Linked DNA regions of Stegostoma tigrinum. The protein of the gene in region 3 interacts with the protein of the main gene of each other region in a biochemical or structural test. Links are inferred from orthologs where the notes say so. Each region holds a gene or a part of one and is shown on either strand. Other genes may lie near its edges. The genes, in order: bcl10, prkcq and card11.

Region 1 (7,731 bases), on a different chromosome or scaffold from region 3:
TTCATCCTTCTTATGTTTCCAAGATTTATACCTAAGATGGTGCCCTTAAAGGCAGCCATTGCAAATACTTTTCACTGTACTCCCGTACTGGCGTACACGTGACAATAAAAGAATATTCAATTCTATTCTACAATCCATTGTGATTGTATCGAATGGTGGAGCAGGGTCAAAGGGCCAAAAGATCTAATCTTGCTCCTATTTTCTATGTTTCTATACAAATAATTATCAAATTCTGACAGTGCTGCATGAGATGTTAGGTCAAGCAAATTAAAGTTTGTTCAAAAGAGATCAGTTTTAAAGATTCGAAGCAGGTAGAAGAGAGAGCGAGAGAAAAAGAGAGGGTTTTGTGGAGGGAATTCTGGAGTTCAGGGCCTCAGCAGCATAAGGCAGCAATGGTGAAGCAATTAAAACAGCAGCTTTGCAGTGAGGATTGTCAAACTGCAAAGGATTACAAGATACAAACAAGAAACAAGGACATGGACAGACAGGAAAACAAAGAGAGAACTTTACATACGAAGAAAATGTTTCTCCAAGGTCAGCATTAGAAGAAGAGAATAAAAATTAAACACAACACAGTTAAAAATGTCAAATTTTCTATTTGCAAATGGCATGCATAATTTTAAAATACATTCTCGATTTTAAAGTTCTCTTCTCGATTATCATCTTGCAGGGAGGGGTCTTTCACAGCCAGTGTTAACTCCAATTTCTGCATACAGTGTCAATGTGCCTCTAACCCACAGACACCCAGGCTAGTTTAATTCAAGAGCTAAAAGATCTGACGCTGCTGAACATCATGTGACACTTCCAAAAAAAACTGTTTCCAAGAAACATTACTGCAAAATAAAATAAAGCTGAAACCCCAGTGCAGAAGGAACTTAGTGTCAGCAATTAGACCTTTCGTAACATTGATCAGAGAAAGGTGACACTGAGTTCAGTCACATTGTGGAGTCTCTCTCAGCCCAAAAGCTACACCCTTGCATTGTCCATGTATCAGATACCTCCCAGTTCTCAGCTGGGCCTTTCCCCACTGCCCAGGTGTACCTGTGCCGAGGTGAGCCAATCCACGCTGCTCTAGTTGCACCAGCATTAGTGCCCAGGTGTACATATCCAGGTGTACCCGCTCCCCAGTTACACCGCCCTCAGTGCCCAGGTGTACCTGCTCCCCAGTTACACCGACCTCAGTGCCCAGGTGTACCTGCTCCCCAGTTACACCGACCTCAGTGCCCAGGTGTACCCGCTCCCCAGTTACACCGACCTCAGTGCCCAGGTGTACCCGCTCCCCAGTTACACCGACCTCAGTGCCCAGGTGTACCTGCTCCCCAGTTACACCGACCTCAGTGCCCAGGTGTACCCGCTCCCCAGTTACACCGACTTCAGTGCCCAGGCGTACCTGCGCCCCAGTTACACCGACTTCAGTGCCCAGGCGTACCCGCTCCCCAGTTACACCAACCTCAGTGCCCAGGTGTACCCATGCCCCAGTTACACCAACCTCAGTGCCCAGGTGTACCTGCTCCCCAGTTACACCGACCTCAGTGCCCAGGTGTACCCGCTCCCCAGTTACACCGACCTCAGTGCCCAGGTGTACCCGCTCCCCAGTTACACCGACCTCAGTGCCCAGGCGTACCTGCGCCCCAGTTACACCGACTTCAGTGCCCAGGTGTACCCGCTCCCCAGTTACACCAACCTCAGTGCCCAGGTGTACCCATGCCCCAGTTACACCGACCTCAGTGCCCAGGTGTACCTGCTCCCCAGTTACACCGACCTCAGTGCCCAGGTGTACCCGCTCCCCAGTTACACCGACCTCAGTGCCCAGGTGTACCCGCGCCCCAGTTACACCGACCTCAGTGCCCAGGTGTACCCGCTCCCCAGTTACACCGACCTCAGTGCCCAGGTGTACCTGCTCCCCAGTTACACCAACCTCAGTGCCCAGGTGTACCCATGCCCCAGTTACACCAACCTCAGTGCCCAGGTGTACCTGCTCCCCAGTTACACCGACCTCAGTGCCCAGGTGTACCCGCTCCCCAGTTACACCGACCTCAGTGCCCAGGTGTACCCGCTCCCCAGTTACACCGACCTCAGTGCCCAGGTGTACCCGCTCCCCAGTTACACCGACCTCAGTGCCCAGGTGTACCCGCTCCCCAGTTACACCTACCTCAGTGTCCAGGTGTACCTGCTCCCCAGTTACACCAACCTCAGTGCCCAGGTGTACCCGCTCCCCAGTTACACCGACCTCAGTGCCCAGGTGTACCCGCTCCCCAGTTACACCGACTTCAGTGCCCAGGCGTACCTGCGCCCCAGTTACACCGACTTCAGTGCCCAGGTGTACCCGCTCCCCAGTTACACCAACCTCAGTGCCCAGGTGTACCCATGCCCCAGTTACACCGACCTCAGTGCCCAGGTGTACCCGCTCCCCAGTTACACCGGTCTCAGTGCCCAGGTGTACCCATGCCCCAGTTACACCAACCTCAGTGCCCAGGTGTACCTGCTCCCCAGTTACACCAACCTCAGTGCCCAGGTGTACCCGCGCCCTAGTTACACCGGCCTCAGTGCCCAGGTGTACCCGTGCCCCAGTTACACCGGCCTCAGTGCCCAGGTGTACCCACACTGCAGTGTCCAAGGTACAGCTTCCATCCTGGGCAGAGCAGCTCGGTGCCCCAGTGTGCCCACTAGCCTCAGACCTACTCACTTGTCCTGCCCTGTAAGGGGGCAGGTGAGCACCAGAGACTGGGGCAAAAGAAAACCCGTTCCCCTTTCACATTTCGCTCAAACAGCGGCAACAAACTTACTTCCTTTTTTATTTCAGCCATTTCGTCCTCGGTGAGCTGCGCAGCCTCCATGGGTGTGGGTGCCAGGAGGGGAGCCCTGCAGTTTCTCTGTGCCCGGGTGTGAGGGGGGTGGGGGCTTCCCCTGGGTAGTGCCAATGCCGGGGATCACGGAGCCGGGCCGGAGTTACGTGCAGCAACTTTTACATGTTTGCATTGTTGGACTGTACACTTTCTTCCTGGTTTTCCTTCTGAGCAGACACACACTCTCTGAAGGTTGTAAAGTCTAACCAATTACAACTTCCGTCCCTCCGCTAACACTGACGTAAAGCACGTTTAGCGAAACTCTGACTGAGAGGAATTAGCTATTATGCGGAAGTTCACTGTACCTTCACATTATGGCTGGATAACCCAGCCCCAGCTTTTACTGCAACGTCTCTTTTCGCCCAAAACACTCTCATTGGCTGAAAAAAAATTCCCTTTTCTGCCCTGTTGTAAAATTGGACCTTTAAGTGATTGCGATTAAGAACAGTTGCATTAAAAAGTTTCATATGTGGATATTCAGCCCATCTAATCATCCCTGGGCAAGTCTGCTGGCATTTTACTACCTCTCCTCCAGTGGTCCCCAGCATTACAGAAACCCGTCTTCGATTCACTCCATGTGGTATCAAGAAACGGTTGGAGACACTGGATGCTGCAAAGGCTACAGGCCCTGACAACATTCCGGCAATAATACTGAAGACTTGTGCTCCAGAACTTGCCGCTCCCCTGGCCAAGCTGTCCCTGAACAGCTACAACACGGGTATCTACCTGACAGTGTGGAAACTTGCTCAAGTATGTCCTGTACACAAAAAGCAGGACAAATCCAACCCGGCCAATTACTACCCCATCAGTCTCCTCTCGACCATCAGTAAAGTGATGGAAGGTGTCAGTAACAGAGCTACCAAGCAGCACCTACTCAGTAATAACCTGCACAGTGACACTCAGTTTGGGTTCTGCCAGGGCCACTCAGCTCCTGACCCCATTACAGCCTTGGCTCAAACATGGATAAAAGAGCTGAATCCCAGAGGTGAGGTGAGAGTGACAGCCCCTGACATCAAGGCTGCATTTGACCAAGTGTGGCATCAAGGAGCCCTGGCAAAACTGCAATCAGTGGGTATCAGGGGGCAAACTCTCCGGTGGTTGGGGTCACACCTGACGCAATGTTCAGCACCATTCATGATTCATCAGATACTGAAACAGTCCATGTCCAAACGCAATGAGATCTGGACAATATCCAGACTTGTGTTGACAAGTGGCAAGTGACATTTGCATCATACAAATGCCAGACTAACTCATCACTAATAAGAGACAATCTAACCACTGCCCCTTGACATTCAAGGGTGTTACCCTCACAGAATCCCCCACTATCAGCATCCTGGGTGTAATCATAGACCAGAAGCTCCACAGGACTCACCACATAAACACAGTGGCTACAAGAGCAGGTCAGACGCTAGAAATCTAGCAACAAATAACACAAATCTTGACTCCCCAAAGCCTGCCCACCATCTGCAAGGTGTAAGTCAGGAGTGTGATGGAATACTCCCCACTTGCCTGGATGGGTGCAGCCTCAACAACACTCAAGAAGCTTCACACTATTCAAGACGAACCACATCCACAAGCATCCACTCCCTCCAACCCTCAGTAGCAGCAGTGTGTACTATCTACAAGATGCACTGCAGAAATTCACCAAAGATCCTCCCACAGCACCTTCTGAACCCACGACCACTTCCATCTTGAAGAACACCAAGATTGGTGGTGTAGTAGACAGTGAAGAACGTTATCTAAGATTACAAAGGGATCTCAATCAACTGGGCCAATGGGCTGAGGAATGGTGTATATTCAATCTGGATAAATGCAATGTGTTGCATTTTAATACAACAAACAAGAGTAGGGCTTATACAATTAATGATAGGACTTATGTAATGTTGTAGAACAGAAGAACCTAGAAGTGCAGGCACATAATGATTTGAAACTTGTGTCAGAGTAGACAGGGTGATTAAAAAAGCATTTAGCAGGCTTGCCTTCATTGTTCAGACTTTTGAGCAGAGGAGTTGGGACATCATGTTGAGGTTGTACAAATGGTGGTGAGGCCTCTCATGGAGTACTGTGTCCATTTCTGATTGTCCAGTTGCAGGAAGGGTACTAATAAGCTGGGGAGGGCTCAGAAGAGATTTGCCAGGATGCTAGATAACACGGTGTGAAGCTGGATGAACACGGCAGGCCAAGCAGCATCAGAAGAGCAGGAAAGCTGACGTTTTGGGTCAAGACCCTTGTTCAGGAACATCAGCCTTCCTGCTCCTCTGGTGCTGCTTGGCCTGCTGTGTTCATCCAGCTCTACACCGTGTTACCTCAGATTCTCCAGCATCTGCAGTTCCTGTCATCTTTGCCAGGATGTTGCTGGGTATGGAAGGTTTCAGTTACAAAGAAAGACTGGATAGGCTGGGATTTTTTTCACTAGAGCATAGGAGGTTGGAGAGGTGACCTGACAGATATTGTAGCTTTCGTGGTCAACACTATCTGTGGAATGTTTTCCATTAAAAGGAACCGTTGCTGCCTAATGATTCTTGAACAATTTTCTGGACTCACTACTCACTGGTACTTAGACTGTTTGTTCTAGATTCACACCATCTTTTGACTAAAGAAATCAGTTACCAATTTGTCTGAGAGGCCAAAGGACAATTCAACTCAATTGAGGCCTTGTTATAACTTTGCATAACTGCATAGTTCAGATTGTGCTTCCAGGTCATTCATGAAACTATCTGCAGACTCTCCTGGGAGTTGATATCTGATGTTGAAGTATTTTATTTATTCTTGGAATGAAATACCGATCAAAAGCTATTGCGGGGTTGTCAAGTGTAATTTGCTTATTCACTAGTCTGTTGTCAGTGCAGCACGTGATCTGATGTTCTTCCCATTTGTTCCCCATTTGATTTAGTGTCCAATCCAGAAGTGGGCTTTCCACACTCGCCAATTTACTAAGCTGGGTCTGAAAGTTTAAGTCTTTCTGATGAGAAAATTGGTGAATTTTATTGCTAGACACTTGAAATTGTTGATTATTTCTTGGTTTAGAAGGATATTGGACTTTGAACATTATTTTGTGTTCTTGCAGCTTTCTTAGTTGATTAAAGTTGTTGACGGTTTGATGTTGTAAAGGTTGTAAAACTGAAAGCCGTTGAAGTTTCCATTGATCTAAATATTGGTTTCAATATATCTCGTTTGCCTTTACCAATATGGCGTCCGCATGGGTATGAAGATGTACTTTTTCCAGGATTGCCATAGGATATCCAAAAGATCTGTGGGTAGAACTTTCCCAAGATGGCTTCACTCATCAAGAAGCAATGAATTTTTTGACTCTGTCCAAGATGGCTACCTTGCCATGGTTCAAGCTGATCTTTGCTGTATCCAAGGTATTTTCATGCTCACTTTGATACCACTTGATCATGTTTGCACTCTTGAATTAAAACCAATAATTTCACTGTTACCACTTTGATAATCCAAACTGTGATAATGATTCTTATCTCTGATTTCTATTTTCTTTTTCAATCACTTTTTCTTTAAGCCTTTACCTGAAGAATTATTTCATCTTGCTGTTGATAACTTTCTTGACAAGCAAATAGTTCAAAAGTTTGTTAATTCACTACAAAATATCTTTGCCCCATATTCCCAAGTCTAGGTGTCAAGTTGGAAACATAACGTTTTCTCCATTCCTTTGTGAGATCGATTCTGTTTCGGTGTGCTGTAAACAGCCGGTATTAGTGAGTGGTTGCATGAATCTGCTTAATGGCTTATTGCCTTTTACCATTCTCACCATTTTGTATTGGCTTGTTTTCCCCATTACTGATTGTAAAATGCTTCTTGAGACCCACAACATTCCTGTGGTTTCTCTGGAGGAGTTTTTTTATTCAGAGATATTTCCAAACTCTATCGCAGCTGTTTAGCTCCATGGATTTTCTGGTGTCTAGGTGGTTTTAAAGATGTATAGATGATTTCTCTAAAACAATTCACTCCTTCTCCAGATGACCTCTGTTCGATTTCTTTAACTCCACTGCCGTCTCTGCAGTGAATCCTGTTCCTATCACCATCTATCATCATGACATTTTTTTAGTAGGGAGGATTGTAATGTTTAACTTTTTAAATTTGTTTTCCTTATTTTTCTGCTTTGTACCAAAGATTCCATACCTAGGTATCTTTGTACATAAGGTGGTGCCCGAAATGGTGACTTGTAAACTTTTCACTATACTCATGTGACAATAAAGATCATTTTCAATTTTCAGTTTCCAATTTGAGACGACACTGTGAGTTGGATTCATGTCAGGCTGGCTGAGGAGAAGACAAAATCATGTGCTGTCTTCAGCCTTAAACTTCGAAGTAACACTACTAATTTTACATTAATATTATTCACATACTTGGTAATCATGGATAACCAGGGTTTGATATTATGGTTACACTAGGGAAGGAGTAATTTATCTTATCAGTGTGTTCATATCCACATATTGTCGAGACTGTCTCTCATTCTAGTGTGTTCTAACTCTGCCCACACTGCACTCTTTCTGCTCGGCAATCTGCATTTCTGTGACATCATCATATTATTGCTCCAGGTTCCTGAGGCTCAGGCACAACAAAGACCAATTGGTCCATGAGCCTGCTGCAATGTCCATTAAGATCATTGCTGATCTTCAACATTCACTCTCCTGCCCAGCACGGAACCCTGGCCTCAGGGTAGGGCCCTCAGTGTGGACCCCCAGCCTCAGGGTGGGAACCCCAGCGCAGACCCCCGGCCTGGGGGTGGGGCATCCAGTATGGACCCCCAGCCTCAGGGTGGAACCCCCAGCACGGACCCCCAGTGCAGACGCCCAGCCTCAGGGTGGGACCCCCAGCGCAGACTCCCAGTGCAGACGCCCAGCCTCAGGGTGGGACCCCCAGCACG
Region 2 (7,978 bases), on a different chromosome or scaffold from region 3:
TGACAGGCTGTCTGAGGTGACTGAACTGAAACACACAAAATCCTTGACTAATAGCTGTCAAAAGGATGTTTCCTCTTGTGGAAAAATCTAGAACCAGGAGTTATTGTTTAACAATAAGGGGCACCCACTTAAAATAGGGATAAAGGGAAAAAAAATTTCCCTCAGAAGTTTACAAGTTTCATGAATTCCCTTCCTCAAAGCACAGTAGATGCAGAACCTTTAAGTATTTTTAAGGCAGTGATAGATCTTTTCTTGATGACCAAGGGTTGAAAGATTATTGGTGGTACGCAGAGACGAAAAGTTGAGGTTCAAATCAGATGTGTCATGATCCTTTTGAATGGGCAGCAGACTCGAGGGGCTGAGTGGCCTACTCATGTTCATTGTTTGTACTTAAAGTTGACCAGGGACAAGGACTGGATGAAATGTATCTGAGATTTTTGAAGGAAGTGAGAGTGAAATTCCAGAGGTACTGGTCAAAACAGAATTCCTTAAACTGAGATTGCTGGTGGACTGGAGAACTGCAAACATAGAACTATACAGTACAGAAGAGGCCCTTCAGCACATTGAGTCTGCAATGACAAAAATCTTCTGTAACTCTACACTTAGTCCCACTTCCCAGAACTTCCATGTACTAGCATTCCAAGTGCTCATCCAAGTACTTATTAAAGGTTCTGACATTTCACACCTGAAGTACCCTCTGAGGCATTGCATTCCACACCCTCAACATCCTCTGGGTGAAAATATTTTTCTTGAAATCCCCTCTCAATCTCCAACCTTTAGCCTCTAGCCTAACATTATGCCTCCTTATTATTGACTCTTCAACTAAGAGTAATAGCTGTTTCCTATCCAACCATGCCAATGCCCCCAAACCACACCCCCCTCCCATAATCTTAAACTCTGGCCCCCTCTTAACCTTCTTTGCTACAAAGGAAACAACTCGAGCTTATCTAGCCTCTCTTCAGAGGTAAATTGCTCCACTCTGGTGAATCTATCGTGTGGTGACCAGAAATGCACACCGTGCTCCAGCTGTGACCCAACCAAAGGCGAGAGAGAGCACAGAAGAGATTGATAAGAATGGCTTCAAGGATGAAATACAGGGCTGGGACGCCCTGCCAACCCAAGCCCCTCAACGCCCCCAACCTGACTCTTCTAAACTGCCAACCTTGCCACCTGCCTCTGCCCGAAACCTCTGACACCCCCAACACTACCCGACATCCATAAATAACGTGCTGACCTCTAACTCATTTACCTTCCAATGTACCCTTCCCTATCCCCTCATCATTCACCTGCCCACTGCCTTCCATTCCCCTCACCACTTCCCCCTTCTCCTGCTGCCTCCCTACCACCACACCACTCTCCCAACTCCCAATCCCATCACCACCCCCCGCCACCTACCCTTCTCCCGCTGCCTCCCTACCACCACACCGCTCAGCCAACTCCCAATCCCCTCACCACTCCTCTGCCACCTACCCTTCTCCCGCTGCCTCCCTACCACCACACCGCTCAGCCAACTCCCAATCCCCTCACCACTCCTCTGCCACCTACCCTTCTCCCGCTGCCTCCCTACCACCACACCGCTCAGCCAACTCCCAATCCCCTCACCACTCCTCTGCCACCTACCCTTCTCCCGCTGCCTGCTTACCTACATCATCCACTCACCTTTCACACCTGCCCACTATCCAAAGCTTTTCGATGAGGATTTGGACATCAAAATGTTTCACTTTAGTCACACAATAGTTGACGTTCTAAAAAGGGGTGTGGCTTCCCTTCCCATGATGGTGCTACACTATAAGGATCCTGGATGTGAGTTTGCTCGCTGAGCTGGAAGGTTCGTTTTCAGATGTTTCGTCACCATTCTAGGTAACATCATCAGTGAGCCTCTGGCGAAGCGCTGGTGTTATGTCCCGCTTTCTATTTATCTGGTTAGGTTTCCTTGGGTTGATGATGTCATTTCCTGCATTGGTGATGTCACTTCCTGTTCTTTTTTTTATGGGGATGGTAGATTGATTTGGAGCCAATGTGTTTGTTGATGGAGTTCCGGTTGGCATGCCATGCTTCTAGGAATTCTCGTGCGTGTCTCTGTTTGGCCTATCCTAGGATGGATGTGTTGTCCCAATCAAAGTGGTGTCCTTCCTCATCTGTATGTAAGGATACGAGTGATAGTGGGTACAGATGAGGAAGGACACCACTTTGATTGGGACAACACATCCATCCTAGGACAAGCCAAACAGAGACACGCACGAGAATTCCTAGAAGCATGGCATTCCAACCGGAACTCCATCAACAAACACATTGATTTGGAGCCAATCTACCATGCCCTGGGAAAAAGAACAGGAAGTGACATCACCAACGCAGGAAATGACATCACCAACCCAAGGAAACCTAACCAGATAAATAGAAAGCAGGACATAACACCAGCGCTTCGTCGGAGGCTCACTGATGATCTTACCTAGAATGGTGACGAAACGTCTGAAAACTAACCTTCCAGCTCAGCGAGCAAACTCACATCCAGAACCTCAACCTGAACTACAAATCTTCTCAAAACTCGCTAACTATATGGATCCAGCCAGATTAAAGCTATGCTTCCCATTTCTGGAGTATCTGTTTTCAGAACCCAGGCCCAGCAATGTGAGTCTACAGATAGAGTAACAAAGTAGCAACCTGACAGGGATCAATCTCCCCAAAGATTTCGACCAGAATCATGTCTCCCTTACTGTTCTTGAATCAATATCCTGGAACACTCTCCTTTCATAGCAGCGTGAATGTATCATACACCACCTTAGGAAAGATAATGGCCTTGTGGTACTAATGCTAGACTGTTAATCTAGAAATGCAGCCAAATTTCTGCGGAACTGGGTTCAAATCCTAACATGACAAATGGCGAAATTTGTAATTCAATAAAGAAACCGCAATTCAGAGTCTAATGATGACTACGAATTGTCACGAAAAACCCACCTGGCTTATTAATGTCATTCAGGGAAGGAATTCTGCCATCCTTACCTGGTCTGGCCTACATGTGACTGCAGACCCACAGCAATGTGGTGACTCTTAACTGCCCCCTGGGCAAATAGGGATGGGGCAATAAACACTGGCCTACACAGCGACGCCCATATTCCATGAATGAATTAAAACAACCGTAGACTGCAATGAGACTGAGACCCAAGAAAGCTCGACCACCAGTCTGACTCTGCCGTCTGCTGTCGGGAGGCTAAAGGAAATTTTTTTGACTATGCGGTTGCTGTGGCTAGTCTGTAAATGTACTTTGTACTTGATGCATATGGTGAAATAGTGCAGATAGCTGTAACAGTTTTATCTGATGCACTATTGCTACTAATGTGGAAGTTTGTTTTTAAGTAGTTTCCATCCTTACATGCACAGGCCCTCAGAAAATGATTGCTGGGCAGCAGTCCTTTATTATTTGGAACACGGCTATACTGTAATTACAAAGGGACCTTTATTCCCTCCAGCCTGTCCTGGCCCAGGTAGATTCAGCACTTGATAGCTCCCCAAGCAAGATTCCTTTAGCACTTTAAACACCTCAGTCAGATCATTCCTGATCCTTAACTTAAATAAGTACAAACCAGGTTTGTGCATCCTGCTGTTATCATTGTAACCTTTTAAAAACCGGTCCAATTTCGGTATGGAAGGCCTCCACTTGTGTCTGAGGCATTAGGATTTAACTAGATGCTCCAGTCCTGTCTATGCTGCCCAGCTGATCACCTCATGCCTGGTAGTGGTCAGGTTCCAAAAAGAGAACCACACACTGACCTCATAAACTCCAGAGTTATCTCCTACAAAACAGCCATAAGACCCTGCTGCTTTAAGGTTAATCTCTTCAAAACATTCTGATTCATGATGGATTGGCAAATCACTCCACTCCATTGGCCTCATGAAGTCCCAGGTTATTTCGCAAGAGACTGGGTCAATTAAATGTTCAGAACTGAGTGCGATCCATCGCAGGATGAGCAGCAAAGGTGAGAAAATGACTCCTGACTGAAGCAAAATTCACTTTCGCTCTGAGTATCTGAAGGACTGAGATTCCACTGTGTTTAACAAACATAATGATGTGCTTGAAATTCATCCATGCACTCTTTCAACAGGGATCTGACTTTTCTTAGTGGCTAATACTTTTGATAAAATACTGGGTAAAATTACCCTGTGTGAACAGGCAGGCAAGAATATTAAGCACCACATTAATGAATTTGTCTTGAGCATTTTCTTTTGCCAATTTCCCACACCCCTGACACCTCACGCACCCCTCTCCCACCCAACACCAGACAATACTTTCAAAAAAAAAGTGAAATCGTGAAAGGGATCAGTCACCTTAAATAAAAACCACAAGAACTGCGGACGCTGTCAATCAGGAACAAAAGCAAAGTTGCTGGAAAAGCTCAGCAGGCCTGGCAGCATCTGTGAAGGAAAAAACAGAGTTAATGTTTCGGGTCCGGTGACCCTTCCTCAGAACTGTCCCCGGACCTGAAAAGTTAACTCTGTTTTTTCCTTCACAGTTGTTGCCTGACCTGCTGAGCTTTTCCAGCAGCTTCCGTTCTTGTTCAGTCATCTTAACATGGCCAGGTCTAAAATCCTAAACTATATATTTTTTTCCGATTCTCTTTGTGTTGCTCTAAATGCTGGGGGAGGGTATAAACCTTTCTGAGTTAAGTTTCTATGGTTGAAACTATCCCATTTCTGAAATATGACTGTCCTGGATGCTGTGACATTCAGTGGGAGGGTGAAGCGAACCCCACTTCCTTCTCTCTGGGTGCTCTCCAGTTTATGGCATGACTCCTCCTCCCTTGTGACACATGAGACTGCTTGGCCCAGCTTCTTTTTTTATCTCACTTGTCCTCACAGAGAAGGAAGTAAGTTAGCAGTTGGTTCCGATGAGCTATTGGTTCCTGTCAGACCCTCTCTTTGTCGCCTATGAGGCTTGATGATTTGGTTGTTCCTTAGCCTAACTCCAATTGTTCATGATGTTATACCAAGGTCTGACTGTCAAGATTTCCGAAATGGCTCCTTTCCTTCGGATTGGCTTCTCCAACTTTGACATCGGTCTGTGCCCACAAGCCGAGGATGTCCAGAACCCTTACTGCGCTGTCATTGTGAAAGAACCAGTAGACACAGGTAAAGCCGTGACTTATCAAATCATCCGCTGATATTGTGCTTTCACCTTTCTGAATGTTACATTAAACTTAAGTTGTGTGTTTATATGATAACCCACCAATTACTACAAGCGAATAATGCAGTTAGCAATGTGTTACAATCTCACTTGTCTGGCATCCTGGATTATTTGCAGAAGCTGCTGCGTGTGGCAGGGTTTCACACAGCAATGTTTATCTAAGGCAGTTGTTTGCATAACAATGCCAATTTCAGGATGGTCTCTGCTCAAAGAATTGCAGACCTGAGCTGTTCTCCCAGCTCCACATAGCATTCCTACTCAGAGGAAGTGTGAGTCGACACCTATGTGTGTCTCTAACATATACAGAGGTCCACAGATAACAGAAATTGGCTTTGAATGTGCCTCACACCACCTTTTCAAACTGGCTTCCTCAATAGCAGTGGTTATACTGTAGCCTGTGTAAAACTGAAAGCCGTGTTCCAAATAATAAGAGCTGAATTCAGCTCTTGTAGGTGATCTCACATTGCTGTTAGTTTGAAATGAATTTGCAACCCGAATGATGTTACAAACTGTATCAATTCAGAAAATAAATTGCTTTGCACATTTATAAATGACTACAGCAGAGCTACATGGTGAAAAAGGTGTAATATTCTGACAAAGGCCTTGATCTTGCTTTCAATGAATTAATACTTTCATTACAGCAACACACAAAAGGATTTTACACTGATGTACTTCTTACTAGTGCCATACAGAACAATTTGCATCTGGTAATGTTGACAGCTAATGAGTTCTGACATTTCTTCACTCTCAGTAGGAATACCGCTGACTGCCTCACTCAGTTTTACGTGAAGGAAAAAAACAGAGTTCATGTTTCAGGTCCGATGACCCTTCCTCAGAACTGAGTTATAATAAGTGTTATAATAAGTTATAATAAATGAGTTTAATAAAGTTTTTGGTCGCTTGTTTTTCAATCAAAGAAAACAACATAAAACTGAAAAATGAAAGAACTGCAGATGCTGTAAATCAGGAAACAAAACAGAAGTTGCCTGAAAAGCTCAACAGGTCTGGCAGCATCAGTGAAGTTCATGTTTTGGATCCGTTGACCCTTCCTCAGAACTCCGAAACATGACCTCTATTTTTTCCTTCACTGATGCTGCCAGACCTGCTGAGCTTTCCCAGCAACTTCTGTTTTGTTTTATTAAATTTTGAGTATGAAGGACAGAGTATCAGATGGGATATGTTGTGGGAACTCTTGAATTGAATTATTTTTGTGTAACGGGACCTCCAGCAGAAAGGGGTGGTGGTGAGGGAGGGCAGCTAGAGCAGACTTGTGATAGAAAGACAGGTTGTGTTTGGCACAGAGAGGGATGATAGGGGAGGCAGACCACTTAAAGACATTCCTCAGCCCAGTGTCGCCACAATAGTCATTCCATGCATGTGGCATAAATAGCTCAGTGTTCACCCTTCATTTCCCTTCCTGTTTGCAATGCTTTGATGCCAGTAGATTAAAGTATCCCCGCTTCATGATCCTTGGGCTGTAAATGTGTTCAAATCTTACGGAACATTTGTATGAGCTCGCTCCCAGTTTAGCACATTGAGTAGAAGTGTCCCCACAACCACAAACTGCCTGAAACATTTGTACCTATCTTCACTGCTGGGGATAAAATAAAGTGAAGAACTGCAAATGCTGGAGATCTGAAACAAAAGGAGAAATTAACTGTAGAAACTCAGCAGGTCTGGCAGCATCTGTGGGAAGAAATCAGAATTAATGTTTTGAGTCTGATGAAGAATTGCTGGGCTCAAAATGTTAACTCTGTTTTCTTCCCACTTGCTAAGACCTGCTGAGTTTCTACAGCAATTTCAGGTTATGGTTCTCTGGCAGGAGTCCTGAATCATCTTCAGAGATTGAAAAACCTGAGAAGTTTTTGGTTTCACATTTGTAAATGTTTCATTCTGTAACATATTAACTGAAGATGGCTGAATAATTTCTCCCAGGGAAGTTTTATTGAATGTTTAGATTTGAGGTCAGTATATAAACCCTGAAATCACAATGGGCACAGGTGCAAACTCAGCTTTAGCAAGGGCCTGAATATTCTGCTTAATAAATAATGACAAATAGATTTATAGCAGATTAATCAAACTAATATTTATGTCAGTCTTCACTGTACAAGACACAAGTAATATCTCAGAAACAGCTGTATGCCAGGAAATGGGAGAAAGGGTAATGTTGTAACTATGGACTTACAAATCCCTGGGTCCTGATGGACTTCGTTCTATGTCTTAAAAGAAATGACCTGTGAAATAGTTGTTGCATTGGTTTTAATTTTCCTGGATTGGGGGAATATTCCTTTAGATTGAAAAGCAATGAATGTAAGCATGCAGTATAGTGAATACAACTCCTTTATTCAAAAAGGGATTCAGAATGAAGAAAACGGTGGGCTCGACATCTGACATAAGGAAGATATTAGAAGCTGTTATGAAAAATGTTCAGCAGAGTTCTTAGAAAATTAGAAATGTTTAAGATAATCAGGCTGATTGAATATGATTTTAGAGTCAACATTTTGTGAAAGGCAAATCATATTTAACCAATTTACTGGAGTTCCTTAAGGAAGCGCCATGTTCTCAATAAATTAAACATAGATAACACAATGTGGAGCTAGAGGAACACAGCAAGCCAGGCAGCATCAGGGGAGCAGGAAAGCTGATGTTTCGGGTCTGTGCTATCTCTGATTCCAGCATCGGCAGTTCTTACTATCTCAAAGATTTTAAACATAAATGGGTTGTTTTTGGTTTTGGAAATAGTATGCCACAGGAATGAGTGCTAAATTTGCTGACGGCATACAGGTAGATCAGAAAGTA
Region 3 (6,960 bases):
CAGTGGCACAGCGACAGAATGCAGCAAAATGCTGTCAGAAAGATGTCGGTTGACTATGCAGACATATCACTGGTGAAATTCAGGTTGCTAAATGTGCATCAAAATAATCTCAGACACATATACAGTGAATGGAACTGAATTAGAAGAAGGATGGACTAGGAGGGAGCTTGGGAATAATAGTAAAAATATCATTTTCAACATTTAGGTAATGCAATGAAGTAATTTAAAGGTGAGAGAATTACATTTCCAGAACTATGCTGAGATTTTACAATACATTCTTTAGACTTAGAATACTGTATTCGATGCTGCAACAATGATAGTGTGACAAATGCACAAAAAACTTGGTAGATTTACAATTTTTGAAGCCCAGGTTCAGGTGAATCTTTTCAATAATTCAAAACAAAAGTGGAAAGAAATTATTTAGACTTTGCAAAACAGGAACATCTTTCAATTAAGACTCACACTAGCTATTGATGGCAATTTGGAAAAATTGCATTTTAACCCTTGATATTTTAGGCACCTGTGAAGTGAACATTGTTGTTCAGATAAGTTAACTGTCCAAAAAGTAAACTTGACTTTCTGAGTTGGAAGCATTTGCTGCCGAGGAGCACCGTAGAGCCTCTGGAAGATTGTAAGAATTTCTCTTTACAGTATTCCGGGCAGCATTTGCTTTTTTAGAACAAAAATCCTTAATGAAATAATCACCACCTAAACAGCCACTTGGGCTAGAAAGTTAACCTTATTGTGAAGATTGTAATTTTGGACACAAGTGAAATTGGAAAGCTGACTGTCCTTGTTGCTGCACATTCTAGATGTTTGTGTATTTTTAATTGCTGCCTTTTCATTTTAGTATCAACTATTGAGGTTTCACTTTTAAATTTAAAAATAAACATTCGTTTTGAAGAAAATGAAGTCCAGTGTGTAATATGTGCAAGTTTGAGTCAATGAGATACTGTTGGAATGCTACAAATCCCGCTTGTAATTATTGCTGCAAAAACATGATAATCTTTTATTCTTAGCCACTTAACTTACGGTGCACATGAGAAAAATCAGGAAATCCACTGCTTTTTTATAAGCAGCCAGAAGAACATAAAAAATAGAATGTGTCAGCCATCTTGCCTTCCAGGTCTGCTTCATCTTTCAACATGATCAAAGCTGATTATCTACCTGAAGTTCAGTAACTGCTAAAAGGGAAAAGGGCTGCCCCTAAAGATTGCATTAGGCTGTGTATGGAGAACAGTCATATTTCAATTCGAGTGCAAAGAGAATGAGCTTTGAAGAAAGATTAGGGAAGTTTAGCTTTACAGTTTGAAAAGAAAATCTCTCTGTCTGGGGAACACAATGAAGATATTAAATATGGTATCAAAAATGTAAAATTCTAATTAAGCCATGTAAACCCAAAGTAAGTTAGTAGTTATTTTAAGAGCTAGTAAAAAAAAAATCTTTCAAAAAATATATATAACAAGGTGTAGAGCTGGATGAACACAGAAGGCGAAGCAGCATCAGAGGTGCAGGAAAGCTGACCTTTAGGGTCTAGGCCTGAAACGTTAGCTTTCCTGCTCCTCTGATGCTGCTTCCCCTGCTGTGTTCATCTAGCTCTACACCTTGTTGTATCAGATTCTCCGGCATCAGCAGTTCCTACTGTCTCCATTCAAAAAATATTGATGTCCAGAAGAATTTATCAAAGGTGTTAATTTGGGCAACAATATTAGAGATATTTAGTTGTCTAATTAATTGTCTTGATGGGCGAATCATTACACCTGAGCGTTGAATTCTAATTGTTTTAGCTGACTTTTCTGCTTAGTCTGTGATGGTTTTTCTGTTGGTAAATTACGTTGTAAGCAATCATAGTGCTGTAGTGCATTGAGGGTTCCCATCATGGTTTTCAGGGAATTGATTGGCAGTAAAACTGAAGAACATCTGTGCACGATTAACCTAGTGCTTTGGGTAAATGGTTCACCCGAAAAGGAAACGGTCATGGCCTGGAAAGGGAATGAACTGGGTGTTGGGGTTTTGTGGTATTGTCTATAAGAAAGATCTCATTGATTTCTCTTGGAGATAGTGATGAACTTACATTTTGAGGACAGGGCAGGGCAAGCATGAAGAATCTGTTGGAAGATGGGATGCACTGTGGTCTAACAATGACCAGCAGTTTTCCCTTTGTTGCTACAAAATGGATTAATTGAAAATAGCAGATCGGAGCAGGAGTTTGCTATTTGGTCCTTTCAGTCTGCCCAGTTTTCAGTATAATCATGGCTGATTATCCAAGTCAGTACCCTGTTCTTAATTCATCTTGCTTTCTCTCTTTCCCTTCAATTTTTTAAAGTTCTAATTAACTAAGTAACTTATTTGTGAAAACATTCAATGCTTTGGGCTCTACTGCTTTCTGTGGCAGAGAATTCCACATGGTCATCACTATCTGGACGAAGAAACATCTCCTGATCTGAGTCATAAATTGGAAGATTCTGAAGAAGGTTCACTGGACCTGAAACGGTAACTCTGTCTTTTTCCTTCACTGATGCTGCCAGATCTGCTGAACCTCTCCAGCAATTTTGTTCTTTCGGTTTTTACTCAGTTCTAAATTGCCTATTTTGTATCCTTAAGATTGTGACTGCTGGTTCTGGACTCCCCAGTCACTTCTTGTGTCGGTACACATAGCAAAACGCCAAGGAAGCACAAATGATAGAGAAGTGACATCGACGCAGGGTGGATGGTAAGGTAGGTCTGAATCGTCGAAAATAGGTTGGCTCTGCTAAGAACAATTTCATTCAAACAAAACACGGCATAGTGATGGATTAACGAGAAATCCCGCTCTCGAAAACGACTGAAGGTACTCTGATAAAGTCACCTGTAGTGGAAACGTTAAGTCCGCTTTCTCCACGCAGATGCTGCCAGACCTGCTAAGATTCGCCAGTAAATTCTACAATTTTTTCAGATTACCTGCATTTGCAGTTCTTTGTTTTATTTAAGGATTCAATGAAGAACTTGACCATTAAAGACAAGAAGCTGTGCAAACCCAATTTTCTGTCTTGGAAATTTCTTCTTTGGAACCAATCAATAGCCCCTCTCATTTCGTCCTCCTATTGGTTGGTCAGGGCTCCAGTGAAGAGACCAGTGACCGGAGACAGATGGTCGCCTGTTTCATTACCAATGGAAAGCCAGCACCTATCAACGAATTGATCAATCACAGCAGCGATCGCATTCCATCCAATCGGAACTGAGAACCCTGTCCAGATATCAGCGAATCAGCGAGCGGTGGTGCAGAATTCGGCCAATCAGCCGGAAGAGATTTTCTCCTGGTGGAATGTTGACGAATCAGATCGCAGGTTGTGGTTGCTGGCGTTGACCAATCAGAGGCGCGCTCGAGCTTCAGCTCGAGCCGAAAGAGTGCGGTCCGTCGACAGGAAAAGGCGGCGGGGAAGAAGGAAATCGCAAACTGCCGTTACAAGGTAGTTCAAAGCAAGAGGGAAATCTGTTGGAAAGTCATCGGACGAGGGGCGTTCACCTCAGAATTTAATTTCAGGTCTCTTGCAGGGTTCAAAGTTGTTGAAGATTATGTTTTTTTTTATAAAACATATTAGGCGTACTAATGTAACTCTAAATCAGTGTGTGTGTGTGTGTGTGTGTGGCGAACGCCCCTGGTCTCGCGCCGCTGTCAGATATAAGTTCAAACTTTGCCAAGCGCAGTTCATCCAATTGGAGAATGCATGTAATTTGTTCAAGTAAAGTTTGAAAGCTGTTTCAGTTATGAGTTGAAACTTTCACAGACTCATCATTTTCAGGTTTGGGAATTTTATCCCGTCTCCACTTAGGTGATAAAACCAAACAACCATTCAAGTGATAATCATTTGCTCTTTTTAAAAAAAGCGTTGGAGTTAATTATCAACCAGGTATTGCAGGCGGCTGGCTGGAAGTTGAGATCATTGCTGTTTGGTGCCTCCTCGGTGTACATTGGAAAGTAACAGACGAAATTAAAAAATAAGGAAAACGAGGATTGGGAAGAAAACGCTTCCCTTTATTTACACCTCTGCTTTCTCATCCCAGGGGTGAAGGCAGCTTGTCGGAACGGAGTGACGCTGTTCCCGCTGAGGAAATCCGGGCTTTGGGAAGAGGGACCGATCCAAACCCTCTACAAGGAAAGCGGCGATCATTAGCAGGCTGCGAAAGATTGAACCAAACCCGATCTCCTCTCTAGGGCAACCAGCCAAAATAACACAATTTAACCAGCGGCTTGGAGGAGACCTTCATTCAGTCTAATATATTTCATTGAAAATATACCAAAGCGTATCGATTGTTAGGGAGCGACCTGATTGCACTAATCGAGGCGATCAACAGATGATGGGAGACGCGAGTTTTGGGCTGGTCGATGCTCAGGTCATCGCTGTGTTACTCATTGATGTTGATGCGTATCCAGAGGTGATCTGTACTCGAGGGGCTAGCAGCAAGGGCCCGCAAACGTTGATCAGTAATTCTAGCAGCAGGAAAAGACCGCACTCTGGGGCTACTAGCCATGAACTAATTGTAAACCCAGCGACATCTGTAATCAATCATCCGAAAGATCGATGCCAAAGGAAAGCCTTGCAGGGACCGATCGGGAGCCTTTACCCAAGCGGACTCACTAAGCAGAGATCGATCCAGCGTTCGAATGCCCACCATAATCAGTTGATCGAAATTGCCAAAGAAATCGGGAATACGGACTACTCAATCAATAACCAAAGGGCGATGAAGCAACGGCCTTGTTTGAAAGGTGTTTTCGATAACCAGATTGAAAACCGAAGTGATGAAATTAATGTATTGATTAGGGGACCGAAATCGGGAGTATTCCGAAGAACAGCTGGATTTGTTAGTGCGAGAGGAAACTTTAATTTGTTTGGATGTTTTGGGCGAATGTGGATGTTAGCTCTCTTTTATATCCACGTGCTACAGACCCTGGCTCAAGGTAAGATTAAGTTCTACATTACAGGAGTCGAAACACCTTCAAAGTGGGAACAAATTATGTTTTTGCTTATGCAAATCTTCCAAGTGATGTGAAGGAGAGATTAAAGTCCAACATTTGTGTTGTGCTTTAAGTGCGGACACAAACGCTACCATATTTTTCAACTGTCGTATGGTTTCTTTGCAACATGCTTGTTAATCAAATGGTATTTTGCAAGCTGTACGGTACGCAAAGGGTTACATTTGAATATTGTCTGCTATCAGCTCTCATAGCTTTACTTTCCAAGCTGACTTTGTAGTATTAAGGAACAATTATCCGATGGTGAGTCAATTAATGAGACAGCGTGCGTTTTGCTTTTTATTTTTTTTGCCGTGGGAACAAACCAAAGAGTTGCACTTCTATTGGGCAGTGTAAATAAGCACTTGTGCCAGTTTCATTTTCCATCACAGAATTGCAACGCGAAGTAGAAGCCTAATGTACGTACTACTTTCTCAACCCGAGGTAATCCCTTACTCTCTTTTTTAAAAAAAAACACGAAACCACTGCGGATGCTGTAAATCAGGAACAAAAACAAAGTTGCTGGTAAAGTTCAGCAGGTCTGGCAGCATCTGTGAAGGAAAAAAAATCAGTTAAGGTTTCGGGTCCGTTGACCTTTTCTCGGACCCCTGAAGCTTTCTGGCGACTTTGTTTTTGCTCTCGCTTTCCATATTGCATTATGGATTATTTGTTAATTGAAACAAGCTTACTTTATTCAGCATATAAGCAAACTCTGATTTAGCTAACAGACAAGATAATGCAAACAACACTTTCTGTACCATTGTCCGTGCGTTCGAGTAAGTATTTGAAACGCGATTGTTTTACCCAATGAATGAACTGATATTTGCTCTCTTTATGGTGGGATGCCGAAGTTCTTTGCTTGAGCGATGCGCCGTCATACATCATAAACAGTGCCGCGTTTGTTCTGGTGCCAGCGATCTCAATTGGATTAGTATCCCAATGTAAAAACTTGTATTCATTCCAAATAAAGGGCTTTTATGTTGCACTCCTGTCCCTATGTTTAAACTTTTTAAAAACTGACTTCTATTAAGATTGAATTAGCTGTCTTAATCTAATTTCGTTTGAGTAGCATCAATATCTGTTGTTTCATACACCTATTTTATAATTGATTTTTGTTTTGAAATTTATTCTCCACATTTCCCTTGCAGAATAGTTTAAAGTAGTGAAAGGATTCATAAACTGAGTAGCATCTGACTCATGACATTATGGTTTCCTTCACAGCAGTAACCGTTTTTTCCAATGTGTATCAGCTGATAAGTGGTTAGTCCTATGGGACAAAACGGTTTTATAAGCTGCCGTAGACTGCACAGAGGCAGGATACCCACACCTGCCAGACATGAAGATCCCACTGGATGTCATTGTGGAGTTGTGAGTTGGAGCTTCAATGTCCCACTTGCTGGGATTATATCTCTGTGCTGAAACACTGTGTACTTTATAATTCTAAATTGGGAATGGCATCATTAAGCTGAAGGCTCAAACCATTTGTCCTGTTGCTATTAAAGGAAAATTGATTATGGGAAAAAATATAAGTTTTTCAGTTGTACTTCATTCAAAGTACAGTGTAGTTGGAACTTCAGGTTGTATTTTGTGGTAATTATTTTTTGATTGTAAATCCCCAGTGGGAATGAGATTAGTCACGTGCCATCTTGGATTTTAAACAAAAAGATGTTCTTTAGTAATCTGAACACTTTTGTTACCTTATGTCAAGAATGAGAGGATATTACAGCAAATGTTTAGCTGTTAAGCCCATCAAGTCAATGCCATTTTTTTACCAACCTCTTTCTTCAGCGATTTGTGTGCACTTTTGGAATACTTCCCATTGTCAGTCTACTATTTGACATTAACAGAGATCAATTACAAAATCATAAGTCTGTTAGTCTTTTTACGTGGAAATTAGAGCACTAAAATAATTATAGGGACAGATGTAGTTGGGAAGTATGAATTTGTAAAAGGTAGTTTTCTGTCAA

The links.
Region 1: the proteins of card11 (region 3) and bcl10 form a complex in vitro, tested with the Homo sapiens proteins (2 studies listed by BioGRID, with this or other methods). The link is inferred for Stegostoma tigrinum from reciprocal best matches to the Homo sapiens genes CARD11 and BCL10.
Region 2: of the proteins of card11 (region 3) and prkcq, one has a biochemical effect on the other in vitro, tested with the Homo sapiens proteins (2 studies listed by BioGRID). The link is inferred for Stegostoma tigrinum from reciprocal best matches to the Homo sapiens genes CARD11 and PRKCQ.

What each region holds. Positions count from the first base shown.
Region 1 is NC_081361.1:99,959,374-99,967,104, forward strand, and holds the start of bcl10 (B-cell lymphoma/leukemia 10), read right to left. Parts: upstream 3,102-7,731; 5' UTR 2,838-3,101; coding exon 2,787-2,837; intron 1-2,786. UniProt on the Homo sapiens protein: Plays a key role in both adaptive and innate immune signaling by bridging CARD domain-containing proteins to immune activation.
Region 2 is NC_081378.1:6,292,579-6,300,556, reverse strand, and holds the start of prkcq (protein kinase C theta type), read left to right. Parts: upstream 1-4,973; coding exon 4,974-5,124; intron 5,125-7,978. UniProt on the Homo sapiens protein: Calcium-independent, phospholipid- and diacylglycerol (DAG)-dependent serine/threonine-protein kinase that mediates non-redundant functions in T-cell receptor (TCR) signaling, including T-cells activation, proliferation, differentiation and survival, by mediating activation of multiple transcription factors such as NF-kappa-B, JUN, NFATC1 and NFATC2.
Region 3 is NC_081376.1:13,754,961-13,761,920, reverse strand, and holds the start of card11 (caspase recruitment domain-containing protein 11), read right to left. Parts: upstream 3,072-6,960; coding exon 2,941-3,071; intron 1-2,940. Other genes in the region: sdk1a (protein sidekick-1), read left to right, coding at 4,336-4,939. UniProt on the Homo sapiens protein: Adapter protein that plays a key role in adaptive immune response by transducing the activation of NF-kappa-B downstream of T-cell receptor (TCR) and B-cell receptor (BCR) engagement.